Linked DNA regions of Elephas maximus indicus. The protein of the gene in region 2 interacts with the protein of the main gene of each other region in a biochemical or structural test. Links are inferred from orthologs where the notes say so. Each region holds a gene or a part of one and is shown on either strand. Other genes may lie near its edges.

Region 1 (6,932 bases), about 75 Mb from region 2:
AACTAGGCCTTCTGGGAAAAACGAGTTGGTTCCAGGGCTTGGGCAGGGAAAATACAAGATGAGCCTGGAGCAATCTGTGGTGCCAGAAAGTAGGAAGTGCCCAAATAAAAAAGGATGGGAGTGTGTTGAGAGAGCACAGGAACCAAACTGAAAGGGCTCCAAATGGCCAAACCTGGAACAACTTGAGCAACAAAGTAATGATGGTATTGAATTATAATCCAAAGAATAAAATAATTTTGAGCCCATTTTAACTAAAAAAAAAAAAAGCTGCCACTGAGTCAACTCCGACTCATGGTGAACCCATGTATGTCAGAGTAGAACTGCTTCATAGGGTTTTCAGGGGTAGATTTTTCAGAAGTAGATTGCCAGGCCTTCCTTCCGATGTACCTCTGGGTGGACTCGAACCACCAGCCTTTTGGTTGGTAGCCAAGCAGCTAACCGTTTGTACCACCCAGGGACTTGAATATCCAAAAACTAACTGAAGAAATAAATGTGGAGAAAGGAGAACCTTTTCTTACAGGAGGATTCCAATAAATAAATGTGGAAGTATAGAAATGAGAAATCACCATTGGACACCACAGCACTAATTGCCATAGGCAAGATCCACTGTTAAAAAAAAAAAAAAACCAAACCCAGTGCTGCCAAGTCAATTCCGACTCATAGTGACCCACTGTTAGATGGTAAAATTTTGTGGTCAGAATTTAAGCAGAAGTAGGATATTTGCATAATCTTGAAGTATCTGCCTTAAATATTAATTACAAAGGGAAAAACAGTAAGTTTAGATACCGCCTTAAGGAAATGGTCAAAGTTAATATATGTGGTATGCAACCCCTGAAATGACTCCTAATGATCCCCACATTCTGGTATTCACAACCTTGTATAATCCCCTCCTCTTGAGTGTAGGTGATGGGATGCAATTTCTGAGATAGGTTCCAAAGAGACTGGCTTCCATCCTGCTTGCTCTCTTGCTTTCTTATTTGTTCTGTGATGAAAATCAGCAGCCATGTTGTGAGCTGCCTTATGGAGAGACCACCAGCCAAAGCCAGTGAAGAATATAGCCCTCAGTCCAACTTCTTGTGAGGAACTGAATCTTGCCAACAATCCCTGCCCCAGTCAAGCCTTCAGATGAGACTGCAACCATCTCTGCCAACACCTGATTACAGTCTGTTAAGAGACCTTGAGGCAGAAGCATCCTGCTAAAGTGCCTGGACTACTGACTCAACAGAAACAGATAATAAATGTTCATTCACTAAGTTGTGGGTGATTTGTTATGTGGCAGTCCATACCTAAGACAATCAGTAACACATTTCAAAATCATCTACCACTTGATATGATGCACCAGGAAGGGCACATTGCTTCTGGTATTCTTCCTGGTGATACATAATTCAATTTAATTGTGAGAAATTAGACAAACACATCATGACAATATTGGAATGAGAGACATTCTACTCTTCAGAAGAGTCTGTCATGAAAGACAAGGAACTGTCACATATTGGAGGAGACATGACAATGAGAGATTCTGAAACCAAAAAAAAAAAAAAATATTCAAAAACCTGGGGAAATCTAGAAAAAAGTCTGTAGTATAGCTAATAGTATTGTACTGATGTTTATTTCTTAGATTTGATAATTTTTCTATGGCAGGTTTTCTCAACCTTGGCATTATTGACATTTTGGGCTGGATAATTCTTGTATGTAGGGGTGCTGTGTAGTGTAGGATGTTTAGCCAGCATCTTTGGCCTCTGTTAGGGATTGAATTGTATCCCCCTAAAATGTGTGTCAACTTGGCTAGGCCATGACTCCCTGTATTGTGTGGTGGTTCACCATTTTGTCATCTGATGTGATTACCCTTTGTGTTGTAAATCCTAATCTCTATGATGTTAATGAGACAGGATTAGAGACAGTTATCTTAATGAGGCAGGAGGCAATCTACAGGATTAGGTTGTACTTTGAATCTCTTTTGAGATATAAAAGAATCAAGAAGAGAGGAGAGGGACCTCATACCACCAAGAAAGAAGTGCCAGGAGCAGAGTGCTTCCTTTGGACCCAGGTTCCCTGCACTGAGAATCTCCTAGATCAGGGGAAGATTGATGACAAAGACCTTCCCCCAGAACTGAGAGAGAAAGCCTTTCCCTGGAGCTGCTGCCCTGAATTTGGACTTCTAGACTCCTAGACTGTGAGGGAATAAATTTCTCTTTGTTAAAGCCATCCACTTGTATTTCTGTTACAGCAGCACTAGATAACTAAAACAACCTCTACCCACTAGATGCCAGTAGTATCCCCGCCCTCCACCCCCCCCATCTGTGACAACAAAAATGTCTGAAGACATTGCCAGCTGTCCCCTGGGGGGCAAAAGTGCCCTGGTTGAATACTATTTTATTGTTATGTAAGATGCTAACAGAAGGGAAAGCTGGGTGAAGAGTATTTGGGAACTCTAGTACTGGGTTTGGTTTTGGTGGTATGACTTGCTTTTTTCACCCAGCATCATTTAAACGTCACGTCAAACTGATGAACCAAACCCATTGCCATCAAGTCGATTCCAACTCATAGAGACCCTATAGGTCAGAGTAGAACTGCCCCATAGGGTTTCCAAGGAGTGCCTGGTGGATTTGAACTACTGACCTTTTGGTTAGCAGCTGTAGCACTTAACCACTGTGCCACCAGGGTTTCCATCAATCTGATGAGGTATGTATTATTTCTCATCCCCCTTTTGTAGATGGGGAAGCTGAAGTGCAGAAGCTAAGTAATTTGCTCAAGGTCATAGCAAGTGGCTAAGTGGAGTTTTGAGTCCAAGCAGTGTGGCTCCAGGGTGTGCTTTTAACCTTCTATCATATCCTGCCTCTAATTTGTTCTGGACTTGATTCCCTATGCGTTCATGTCACTGTGCAACATTTTTTAAATGGTCATTATAGGGTACACGCTACAGATAACTGTCATTGAACTCTTCTCTTAATGTCTGACTTCTGTATCTCTCTCCCGCCTGCAATTCCCCAGAGCTGAGTCTCCAACCACCTACTCAATGCCCCACGGGCACCGCAGACTCGATTTTAAACTGACTCAAACTGAGCTCATCATCCTTCCCTCTCCGCCCTACCCACGCCTTCCCCCCCCCCGCAAAGTGTTCCCACCTGAGTGGCAATGCCAGCACCCATCAGCCACCCAGGACGAGGGAAGATTGAGATTGACAGAGAATGTGATGTAAGTAGGTCCCAAAGGAGATGTAAGGTGTTTGGGTCAGTAGCATAGGGAAGTGTTAGCCTTGCACAGAATAAAAGGGGGACGGGTTAGCTTTGGACATCTGGAGGAAACAGGTGGGACGAGGGAGGATGGAGAAGCCAAATTTAGGCTTCTGGATTCTTAGCCACTCCTCACCAAGGTAACTGGGTTGCTATGGCAACAGGACAGTCAGCACCGCAACTCCCAAGTACCTCGTCGGCTGCCGTTATCCCCATACTAGCCAGACACTTCCGCTTGGGTAGAAATCAAGGGATTGCCAGCCTTCAGGAATGGTTTACGAAGGCGGGAATAGCCACTGCGGTAGCCAATCAGTAAGCTCTTTCCTGCCCGAGCGGGCTGTGCGGCGAAGGACGCAAAGGAGTGGTCGGGACTTCTTTGGAGCTCGCCTAAGGGCGTTGAGAAGGGCCGGCTTGAGTCCCTTCCCTGCCACTTAGGGGCCGAGGGGGCGGGGCCCAGATAAGATGTGGGAGGAGCCGCCCACCCTCGCTTCTGTCCAATAAGAAGCCAGGAAGGGAGTCCCGACGGTTGGGGTATCCAGTGAGCGTCGCCCCAAGGTCCGGGTGCGGGGGCGCACCGAGCCAATCGGCGGTGGCGGCGGGCGGGCGCGGGAGACCTAGGCGGTGCGGCGGAGGCGGAGCGGGCGCTGCGGCAGGAGCGAAGATGGCGGACGAAGAGAAGCTGCCGCCCGGCTGGGAGAAGCGCATGAGCCGCAGCTCAGGTGCCTCAGGGGCTGGGGCTGGGGTAGGATCGCGCGGGCCCATGGAAGCAGGGATCGAGCTTGCCCTTCGGGCGCGGCGCCGCCGCTTCTTTCCTGTGGGGTTTTGGCTTCTCTGCGTCGATCCCGGGGAACGGCCCGGGCACATTCGGTGGCTGCTGTGGGCCTCAGGAGTGGGGAAGCTGAGGCACGGCGGCGCCAGGGAGGCTTAGCGCGCTGAGGGGTGGGTGAGGGGCCGGTGAGCTCACACACTTCCCGGGCGATGGCCCTGTCCCTGCCCACCCGGCCGACACGCCCGGGCCTAATTCGGCTGAAGTCCCGTGGGTGGACATCTTTACATCCCTCCGGGCCCGGAGGCATCACAGGGGCGACACCCCAACCCCATCCACAGGATGTGGCCCCAGCGTGTTTCCCGACCCAGAAGCCATAACCCCTGGCGTCCACATCTAATGCTGAGTCTGCAATGTCCCCCGTTATCCTGCTTGAGGCTGGCCCCTGTGCCCTGGGCTGAATTTAAAGGTTATCGCCAATAGTAGGCCACGTTTATCTCTGCTCCAGGCATTGTGCCAAGCATTTTAAGCGTGTTCTCTCCAAATCGCCACAACTGTGGGAGGGAGGTAGTTGTTACCTCCATTTTGTAGGTGAAGAAACTGAGGCCAGAACTTAAGGAACTCGCCTGAGGTCATTCAGTTCAGGGAGCGTAGACTGGGCTCCAGAGCTGCCTGCCCACAGCCACTTCACTGCAAGCTCTGGAGGAGCAAGCCCACTTCCTGGTTGTGTTTGGGGAGTCACTGCATTGCCTCAAAGTCTCTAGTAACCTCAGTAATAATTCCTGTTTACTTGGAGTGTTTGGAAACCCTAGTGGCATGTGGTTAAGAGCTATGGCTGCTAACCAAAAGGTCTGCAGCTCGAATCCACAATGCGCTCCTTGGAAACCCTGTAGGGCAGTTCTACTTGTGCTATAGAGTTGCTATGAGTCAGAATCAACTCGATGGCAATGGGTTTGGTTCTGTTAGAGAGCTTACCATGTGTCTGGCACTCTGGTGAGCACTTCGTGTGCATCATCAACTCTCCACATTAATCCCATGAGATTTGATGTCCTTATTCTCTCACCCCCACTTTTCAGATGAGAAAGCAGAGATTCGGGGAGGTAGAGCCCATTGCCACGATTTTAGAGTTTAAGTCAGTGGCTCAACTGGATTTGCCCTCAGAGCCCATGCCATTGCCCACCCTGTTCCTGCCCTGGCCTTTGACTGGCACCTACAGCATAAACCTCATGCTCCGCCCACCTCTGGGCCCTCATTCATGCCATTTCTATTCAGCTGGACCCTGACAGCCTTCCTTGGGGGTGACAGCCGGTCCTTAATGGTGATGGGCCCAAGTGTGTGCATGGAACAGAGTAAACAGTAAGGAAGTGTTACCTGTTACTGCCATTACTAAAGATGGGGAAGGCGAGGCCTCAATTTTGTCATCTATAAAAGGAGATGATAACAGCTATCACACTGTTGATGTGTTCCAGGCGCTGTTTTAAGCCGTTTACAGATGTGAGCTTATTCAGTCTTTACAACAACCATACAGTCAGGTATTGTTATGTCCATTTTACAGGTGAGAAAACTGAGGTCCAGGGAAGGTAGATCATTGGGTAAGTGGCAGGGCTGGATTTGAACCCAGACAGGCGGTCTGCTGAATGAATGCTTTGAATCAGTCTCCTGTCTCCCAGGTTTGCCTTGTTCCGCCACCCTGGGTTATTTTCCTCCTTGAAGTTACCAGCGACTGAAGTTATCTTATTTGCTTGTTTAGTGTCTGTCTGCCCCCACTTAGAATGTTAGCTCCATAAGATAGGTGTTAAAAATGGCATGTTAGGGGCATCTGACCTTCTCTAACTTCGTGAGAGGGAGAGAGAATTGCCATCCACATCAGCCCCACGCTGATTCCTATGAGGGTGGAGGTCAGACATACTGCCTGTTTCCAGTCTTTTTACCAATTCTGACACCAGCTATACCTCCGACAGCACTCTCTGCTACTGTGCTGGGTTTGATAGTCCATTGCAGTGGCTAAACAGAACTCACAGATCATACTCATAGTTATGGGGTGTATTAGAGAAGTAGTTGTTGTTAGGTGCCGTCAAGTCAGTTCTGACTCATAGCAACCCTATGTACAATAGAACAAAACACTGCCTGGTCCAGTACCATCCTCAAAGTCGTTGCTGTTTGAGCCTGTTGGGTGCTCAGGCAAGTGTTAAACAAAGCTCTTTAGCTCTGCTAATAAGTACCCAGAGGCACTCCACTCCTCCAGGAAGGCTCCTGCCCAAAGGTGCTTAGCTCTCTCACTCCGTGGGTCAGCACACCCACTGTAACCGTATTACTCCGTGGGCTGGGAGGCCCACTGCACCATCTTGCACCAGCCTCCTGGTTCTTCTGCTGTTTCTCTGCTGCCACTTCTCGCTAAGTTGTACTTTTATAGCTCTCTATCTTTGTCTGTTGGGTCTAGGAGATTCTCAGCATGCTCTGCTCCCATTTCTTATTTTTGGTGGTAGTGAGGTCCTCCCTTTCCACCTATGGGATGGCTCATTTTAAGCCTAGTGGAATGGCAAAACTGACCAATCCCCTTGTTAGGGTTCCATACATCTTATTTACATGGTCCCACCCAATCATGTGGTGAGAGTTACAAGACCATGGCAAGAAAGGCCATATAAAAGCAATCCATCACGCTACAGCAGGGTTATGTCCTGCCAAGTTGGCTCCAGTGTCCCCGGGCCTGTGGCACATGGTGGGTGCACAGTTTATTTGCTTAATGAAGGCATGTCTGTACCCTGGCCTCTGGTTAGGGCTCCAGGGTGGCATCTGCGAGCACAGCCCTAACTGAATTCCCATCTCTCCTCCCTTCCAGGCCGGGTGTACTACTTCAATCACATCACTAATGCCAGCCAGTGGGAGCGACCCAGTGGCAATAGCAGCGGTGGCAGCAAAAACGGGCAGGGGGA
Region 2 (6,615 bases):
GACCATAACCACAGGCATAGAGCTAGGATTTATAACACATAGGACAATTACGTCAGATCACAAAATGGAGGACAACCACACAATACTGAGAATCATGGCCTAGCCAAATTGACACATATTTTGGGGGGACACAATTCAATCCATGCCACTCTCCCTTGAGAAAAGAGTAAGGGACTTTTGTCTGTGGGAGGAGAGTGAGCCAAACATTTGGTGAAGAGAAAAGGAGACTGTTAAGAGTCTAGTGTTGGTCCCCAAATATTCCTGGCTCTCTCCTTTTAAAACATTTGGCAGCATTACACAGATATGAAGTTAGGCATGGCCAACATCATGATATATGGAGAAAAGACTGAAGTCGTCAAGGATTTCATTTTACTTAGATCCAAAATCAACACCTAACAACAACATGGCCATGTGGCTTGCTTTGGCCAACAATATATGAGCAGAAGTGATGTGTGACACTTCCGGGTGGGTGTGCTGAGAGCCCGTTCTCTACCCCCAGCCAAAATAATTGTGAGAAGCATGTGTCAAGGTGAAGCTTCCTTCTGTCTGAGTCTTTTGAGTGACTACACTGAATAGAGCTCCCCTTCAGACCCACATAGGACAAGTAGCATGAGCAAAAAATAAACTTTGACTGTAACCCAATGAAAGCCGCTGAGATGTTAGGGCTTGTTACGGCAGCATAAAGCCAGCCTTTCCTGGCTGATACTGGGAGTGAGAGGAGAGATTGGGGAAAGCAGGAGCTAAAATGTAAAGCTCCCCTTCTCCTAGGCAAAGGAGTCTGAACTCTCTTCTGTAGTAAAACCAAAAAAACCAAACCCACTGCCATCAAGTCGATTCCAACTCACAGTGACCCTGTAGGACAGAGTAGAACCGTCCTATAGGATTTCCAGGGCTGTAAACCCTGGTGGCGTAGCGGTTAAGTGCTACAGTTGCTAACCAAGAGGTCGGCAGTTCAAATCCACCAGGTGCTCCTTGGAAACTCTATGGGGCAGTTCTACTCTATCCTATAGGGTCGCTATGAGTCGGAATCGACTCTACTGCAGTGGGTTTGGTTTTGGTTTAAATCTTTACAGAAGCAGATTGCCACATCTTTCTCCCTCAGAGCAGCCAGTGGGTTCGAACCGGCAACCTTTCAGTTAGCAGATAAGAGCTTAATAACTATGCCACCAGGTCTCCTTCTTCTGTAGTAAGGGGGAAGCCAATGAAGGCTTCTAAGCAGGGGCGTTATCATGAACAGATTTGTTATTTCGGGGGGATGAAATATGCCATTTCTCAGCATAAGGAGAAAATCAGCCTACTAAATCACATAAGGCAGAGAGAACACACAGAACCCTTAGGCAAAGGATATATATTTATCCACACTCCTAAGTCTAAATACGGGAGCTTTGAAAGGAGTTACCGTCAGAGATCAGGCAAGATGACTTCCCCTCTCCCACAAGCTCCATTTCTTCTGCAGGCAACTAATACTTCACAAGAAAGTTTATCAGAGCCAAGAAGATACAATAAGGAAATTAATACAAATCCGAGGTCAATTTTCAACTGCCTGTGTGTCCTGAACAAGATACTTGAAATCTCTGGGCCTATTTCCTCACATGTTAAACACAAATGATAATAATATATGCTTATCAAGATGGCTGTGGGGAGAAAACAGCATATTTAAATTGCTTAGGAGAATGTCTGGAAAATACTCATTCAATACATGAAAATCATTTTTATTACGGTGATATTAAAAATTAAGAATACCAGCTCTCTGGTTATAAAATGTAACAGAAAATAATTCATGGCAACAGTATAGAGGACAGTGTTTCCTCCTTAAGGGAAGGAACTGGATTTTGCCATCGTTGCATCCCTACCCCTCCCGCCTCCTCACATTTTGTCCCAGCTCAGTGCTTGGCTCACAGTAGCTACTTAGGTATCCTCTCCCACACGAATGAATGAAGAGTTGAGTGCCTCAAGTGAAAAAAAATCGGCGGATTCTCCACCAACACCAGCTGCTGTTGATTCTGAACTTTCAAAGCCACAAATACCTTAAGGCTGGGGGCTATGAACTCAAGACTGAATTCCCCCGAGTTCAGAGGCAGAAAAGTCAGAATAAGTACCTAGGAACTTCAACTACTACAGATCCAACTTCAAACCCTAGACCTAGAGAGGCGGCCTGGGAAAGAGTTGCCTTCTAACCGGATCCACCCTCACTCACCTCCTCCCCTCAGTGTTCCTCACTGGAAAGCAGACCTTGTCCTGCCAAATTACACTCTTATGTCCTGGCATTCCATCCTCCTACAATGCTTTGGGAAACTTGGAGGAAGGTCAAGGAATGGGTGTTTGGCGACCACCTCCTTAGCCACGGAGGCAAGATGATACACTAACGCCTGCAGCCCAGGGAAGCAGATCTAACCAGCTAACTTGCAGATGAGGGAAGTGAAGCACAGAGAAGTTCAGTGATCGCTCACTTACACTGTGGCAGCACGGGGCAGACAGAACGCAGGATTCCCGACTTCGGTATTCCTTCCACCATACATTTTGTCACTGAAGTGGGGAGGAGTGAGGGGGCGGGGCAGATAAATAACCACCACAGAAAGCAACCACTTATATGTGTCTAGCGCTTCCTAGAGGCTGCACAAGGTATCAGCTCACCACCCAGCAGGGAGTCGAGAGATTTTTAAGCTCCTGAGTCGCTGCGTGACTTTTGGCGAGTCTCTGCCGCTTTCGACACTTGTTTTCCCCGAAGCAAATCAGGGCGGGTGTGTGTGTGTGTGTGTGTGGTGTGTGTGCAGGGTGGGGTGTGTGGTAGAAGATCACCGGGGTTCCCAGAATTTCGGAATCCCTAAACGCTTGTTCCGAAATGGACGCTGAGTTGCCCCCTGATTCTTCCCCCTGTAAAAACCTCACCTCCAAGGCAAAGCTGTAAACTCCTGCAACCCTCTTCCCCCCAGGGTCCCCGAAGGGTGACGTGAGGTGCAGCGGGACTTAGCGGAGCGCCCAGTTTCAAGCAATGCAAACCACTCGGCTCTGGGCACTGCCAGAGAGCGGAGAGGACGGTCGCTCGTGAACTTGAACGAGAGACAAACTTCAGAGCGTCCTCAACGTGGGGGGTCAACCCCCGTGCGACCAGCCCTAAACTTGGGCCCACTTAAGCTCACCCCCACGGGGGACTAAACAGAGCCACCTTAAGGGCGGCGCTCCCGCCCCCGGAAGTGCGGGGGGGTCACCGACGCGGGCTCCCAGCCTCCCAACCCCGCGCGGCGAAATGCCTCGGCCAACTTCGCGCCTCCCAAGTGGCGAAAAACCACACATCACCCCACACCCTCGGCCCCAGACAACTACCCCGGTCCCCCAGCCTTCCGGGGCCCCGCATCCCCTGCATCTCGGTCCCGAGCTTGAGCCCGCCTGGGTCAGAGGCTGGGAGAGTCCTCCCGCTCGCGGCAGCCACCGTCACCAGACAGTCAAACCCCAAGACGTCAGCCCACAATGCACCGGGCGGGCCGGGAAGGACTGGCCTGGGAGGAGAAGGGGGAGAGAAGGGCCAGAGTCGCGCGGGAGGGGGGGGGGGAGGGGGGAGAGGACGAGAAAGAAGGGCCCAACTGTAGGAGGGCAGCGGAGCATTACCTCATCCCGTGAGCCTCCGCGGGTCCGGAGAAGAATCTTCTAGGGTGGGGTCTCCATGGTGACGGGCGGGCCCGCCCCCTTGAGAGCGACACGAGCCAATGGGAAGGCCTCCGGGTGACATCATGGGCTATTTTTAGGGGTTGACTGGTAGCAGATAAGTGTTGAGCTCCGGGCTGGATAAGGGCTCAGAGTTGCACTGAGTGTGGCTGAAGCAGCGAGGCGGGAGTGGAGGCGCGCGGACTGAGACAGACAGACAGAGACAGTCAGTCAGGAAGGCAGCAGAGTCTGAACTGCAAATCTTCTTTTCTTTTCCATTTTCTCGCTAACCGCCCAGAGCTAGCGCCTGTGGCTTCCGGGCTGGTGTTTTGGGGAGCGCCCGGAGAGCCCCTTCTCCAGTAGCCCCGGGAAGAGAGCACCGCTGCCCGGGCGTTGACAGCCGCGGAGAGCTGTGACTGCCCGCCAGCCGGGGGAAGTCCAGCGAGCGGCTGCAGCGGCAAAGAACTTTCCCAGCCGAGAGGAGAGGGGACAAGTGGTACCCGGGTCCCGAAGCGAACGTTTGCAAACCTTTCCTCTTAAGCTGCCGCAGCGGCGATAAAGAAGAAGGCGGCAGGAGAGGAAAGAGAGGAGGGACGCGCGTCCAGCTTCGCTCACACCGGTTGCTGAACTTGGGCGAGCGAGAGCTGCTGGTGCCAGGAGCCCCCTCCCCTCGCAGCGGAGGAGGGGAGAGTCGTCGGAGTCGGGGCGGCTGCGACCCGCCGCCGGCTCGCCACTGCCGGATCTGCACTAAGCGGCACCGCTTCGAGACCGCTGTCCCCGGGAAGCGAGTTCGTCCGAGCAACCACTGCGCCCGCTGAGCGCTCAGTGAGTGACCGCGACTTTTCAAAGAGAGGCAGCGCGCGAGAGCGGAGAAGGAAGGGTGCAGGCGGCATCTTAAGCCTGCGTTCTCTGGAGCGAGCTGGTGAGGAGGGCGCTGGGGGGAGGACAGCCAGCGTGTGCGCGCGCTCTTAGAGAAACTTTCCTTGCCAAAGGCCGCGGGAGGCGCGGGTACCCCTCGCTTGCCAACGCGCTGTTGCGGCCCCGAAACTTCTGCGCGCAGCCCAAACTAACCCCACGTGAAGTGACGGACTCTTCTATGACTGCAAAGATGGAAACGACCTTCTATGACGATGCCCTCAACGTCTCCTTCCTCCAGTCCGAGAGCGGCGCCTACGGCTACAGTAACCCCAAGATCCTGAAACAGAGCATGACCCTGAACCTGGCTGACCCGGTGGGCAGCCTGAAGCCGCACCTCCGCGCCAAGAACTCGGACCTCCTCACCTCGCCCGACGTCGGGCTGCTCAAGTTGGCGTCGCCCGAGCTGGAGCGCCTGATTATCCAGTCCAGCAACGGGCACATCACCACCACGCCGACCCCTACCCAGTTCCTGTGCCCCAAGAACGTGACGGACGAGCAGGAGGGCTTCGCCGAGGGCTTCGTGCGCGCCCTGGCCGAACTGCACAGCCAGAACACTTTGCCAAGCGTCACGTCCGCGGCGCAGCCGGTCAGCGGGGCGGGCATGGTGGCCCCGGCGGTGGCTTCCGTGGCGGGCGGCAGCGGCGGTTTCAGCGCCAGCCTGCACAGCGAGCCGCCAGTCTACGCCAACCTTAGCAACTTCAACCCGGGCGCGTTGAGCAGCGGCGGCGGGGCGCCCTCCTATGGCGCCGGCGGCCTGGCCTTTCCCGCGCAGCCCCAACAGCAGCCGCAGCCGCCACATCACCTGCCCCAGCAGATCCCCGTGCAGCACCCTCGACTCCAGGCCCTAAAGGAGGAGCCGCAGACGGTCCCCGAGATGCCCGGGGAGACGCCGCCCCTGTCCCCCATCGACATGGAGTCACAGGAGCGGATCAAGGCGGAAAGGAAGCGCATGAGGAACCGCATCGCTGCCTCCAAGTGCCGGAAAAGAAAGCTGGAGAGGATCGCCCGGCTGGAGGAAAAAGTGAAAACTTTGAAAGCGCAGAACTCGGAGCTGGCGTCCACGGCCAATATGCTCAGGGAACAGGTGGCACAGCTTAAACAGAAAGTCATGAACCACGTTAATAGTGGGTGCCAACTCATGCTAACGCAGCAGTTGCAAACGTTTTGAAGAGAGACTGTCGGGGGTTGAGGGGAAACGGAGACAAACAAATAACAGAGACAGACTTGAGAACTTGACAAGTTGCGAGAGAGAGAAAAAAGAAGTGTCCGAGGACTAAAGCCAAGGGTATCCAAGTTGGACTGGGTTGCGTCCTGACGGCGCCCCCAGTGTGCACGAGTGGGAAGGACTTGGCGCGCCCTCCCTTGGCGTGGAGCCAGGGAGCAGCAGCCTGCGGGCTGCCCCGCTTTGCGGACGGGCAGTCCCCGCGCGAACGGAACGTTAGACTTTTCTTTAACATTGACCAAGAACTGCATGGACCTAACATTCGATCTCATTCAGTATTAAAAGGGGGGTGGGGGAGGGGTTACAAACTGCAATAGAGACTGTAGATTGCTTCTGTAGTACTCCTTAAGAACACAAAGGGAGGTGGGTGGGGAGGGGAGGCGGGAGGGAGGTGTGTGAGAGGGAAGCTGAGCCTACAGATGAACTCTTTCTGGCCTGCCTTCGTTAACTGTGTATGTACATATATTTTTTTTTAATTTGATGAAAGCTGATTACTGTCAATAAACAGCTTCATGACTTTGTAAGTTATTTCATGTTTGTTTGTTTGTTTGGGTGTCCTGCCCAGTGTTGTTTGTAAATAAGAGATTTGGAGCACTCTCTGAGTTTACCATTTGTAATTTGTAATAAAGTATATAATTTTTTTTATGTTTTGTTTCTGAAAATTCCAGAAAGGATATTTAAGAAAATACAATAAAATATTGAAAAAATACTCCCCACCAACCTCTTTTCTGCATTATCTATAGATTAACCATCTAAGCGGAGTTGAAAGAGTTAGGAGTGTCAATTAAAATCATTCTCAATGCTTACTATCAAGCAATAAAACCTATTCTATA

The links.
Region 1: the proteins of JUN (region 2) and PIN1 form a complex in vitro, tested with the Homo sapiens proteins (2 studies listed by BioGRID). The link is inferred for Elephas maximus indicus from reciprocal best matches to the Homo sapiens genes JUN and PIN1.

The regions. Positions count from the first base shown.
Region 1 is NC_064821.1:28,011,224-28,018,155, forward strand, and holds the start of PIN1 (peptidyl-prolyl cis-trans isomerase NIMA-interacting 1), read left to right. Parts: upstream 1-3,852; 5' UTR 3,853-3,894; coding exon 3,895-3,952; intron 3,953-6,838; coding exon 6,839-6,932. UniProt on the Homo sapiens protein: Peptidyl-prolyl cis/trans isomerase (PPIase) that binds to and isomerizes specific phosphorylated Ser/Thr-Pro (pSer/Thr-Pro) motifs.
Region 2 is NC_064821.1:103,111,782-103,118,396, reverse strand, and holds JUN (transcription factor Jun), read left to right. Parts: upstream 1-4,706; 5' UTR 4,707-4,738; coding exon 4,739-5,728; 3' UTR 5,729-6,083; downstream 6,084-6,615. UniProt on the Homo sapiens protein: Transcription factor that recognizes and binds to the AP-1 consensus motif 5'-TGA[GC]TCA-3'.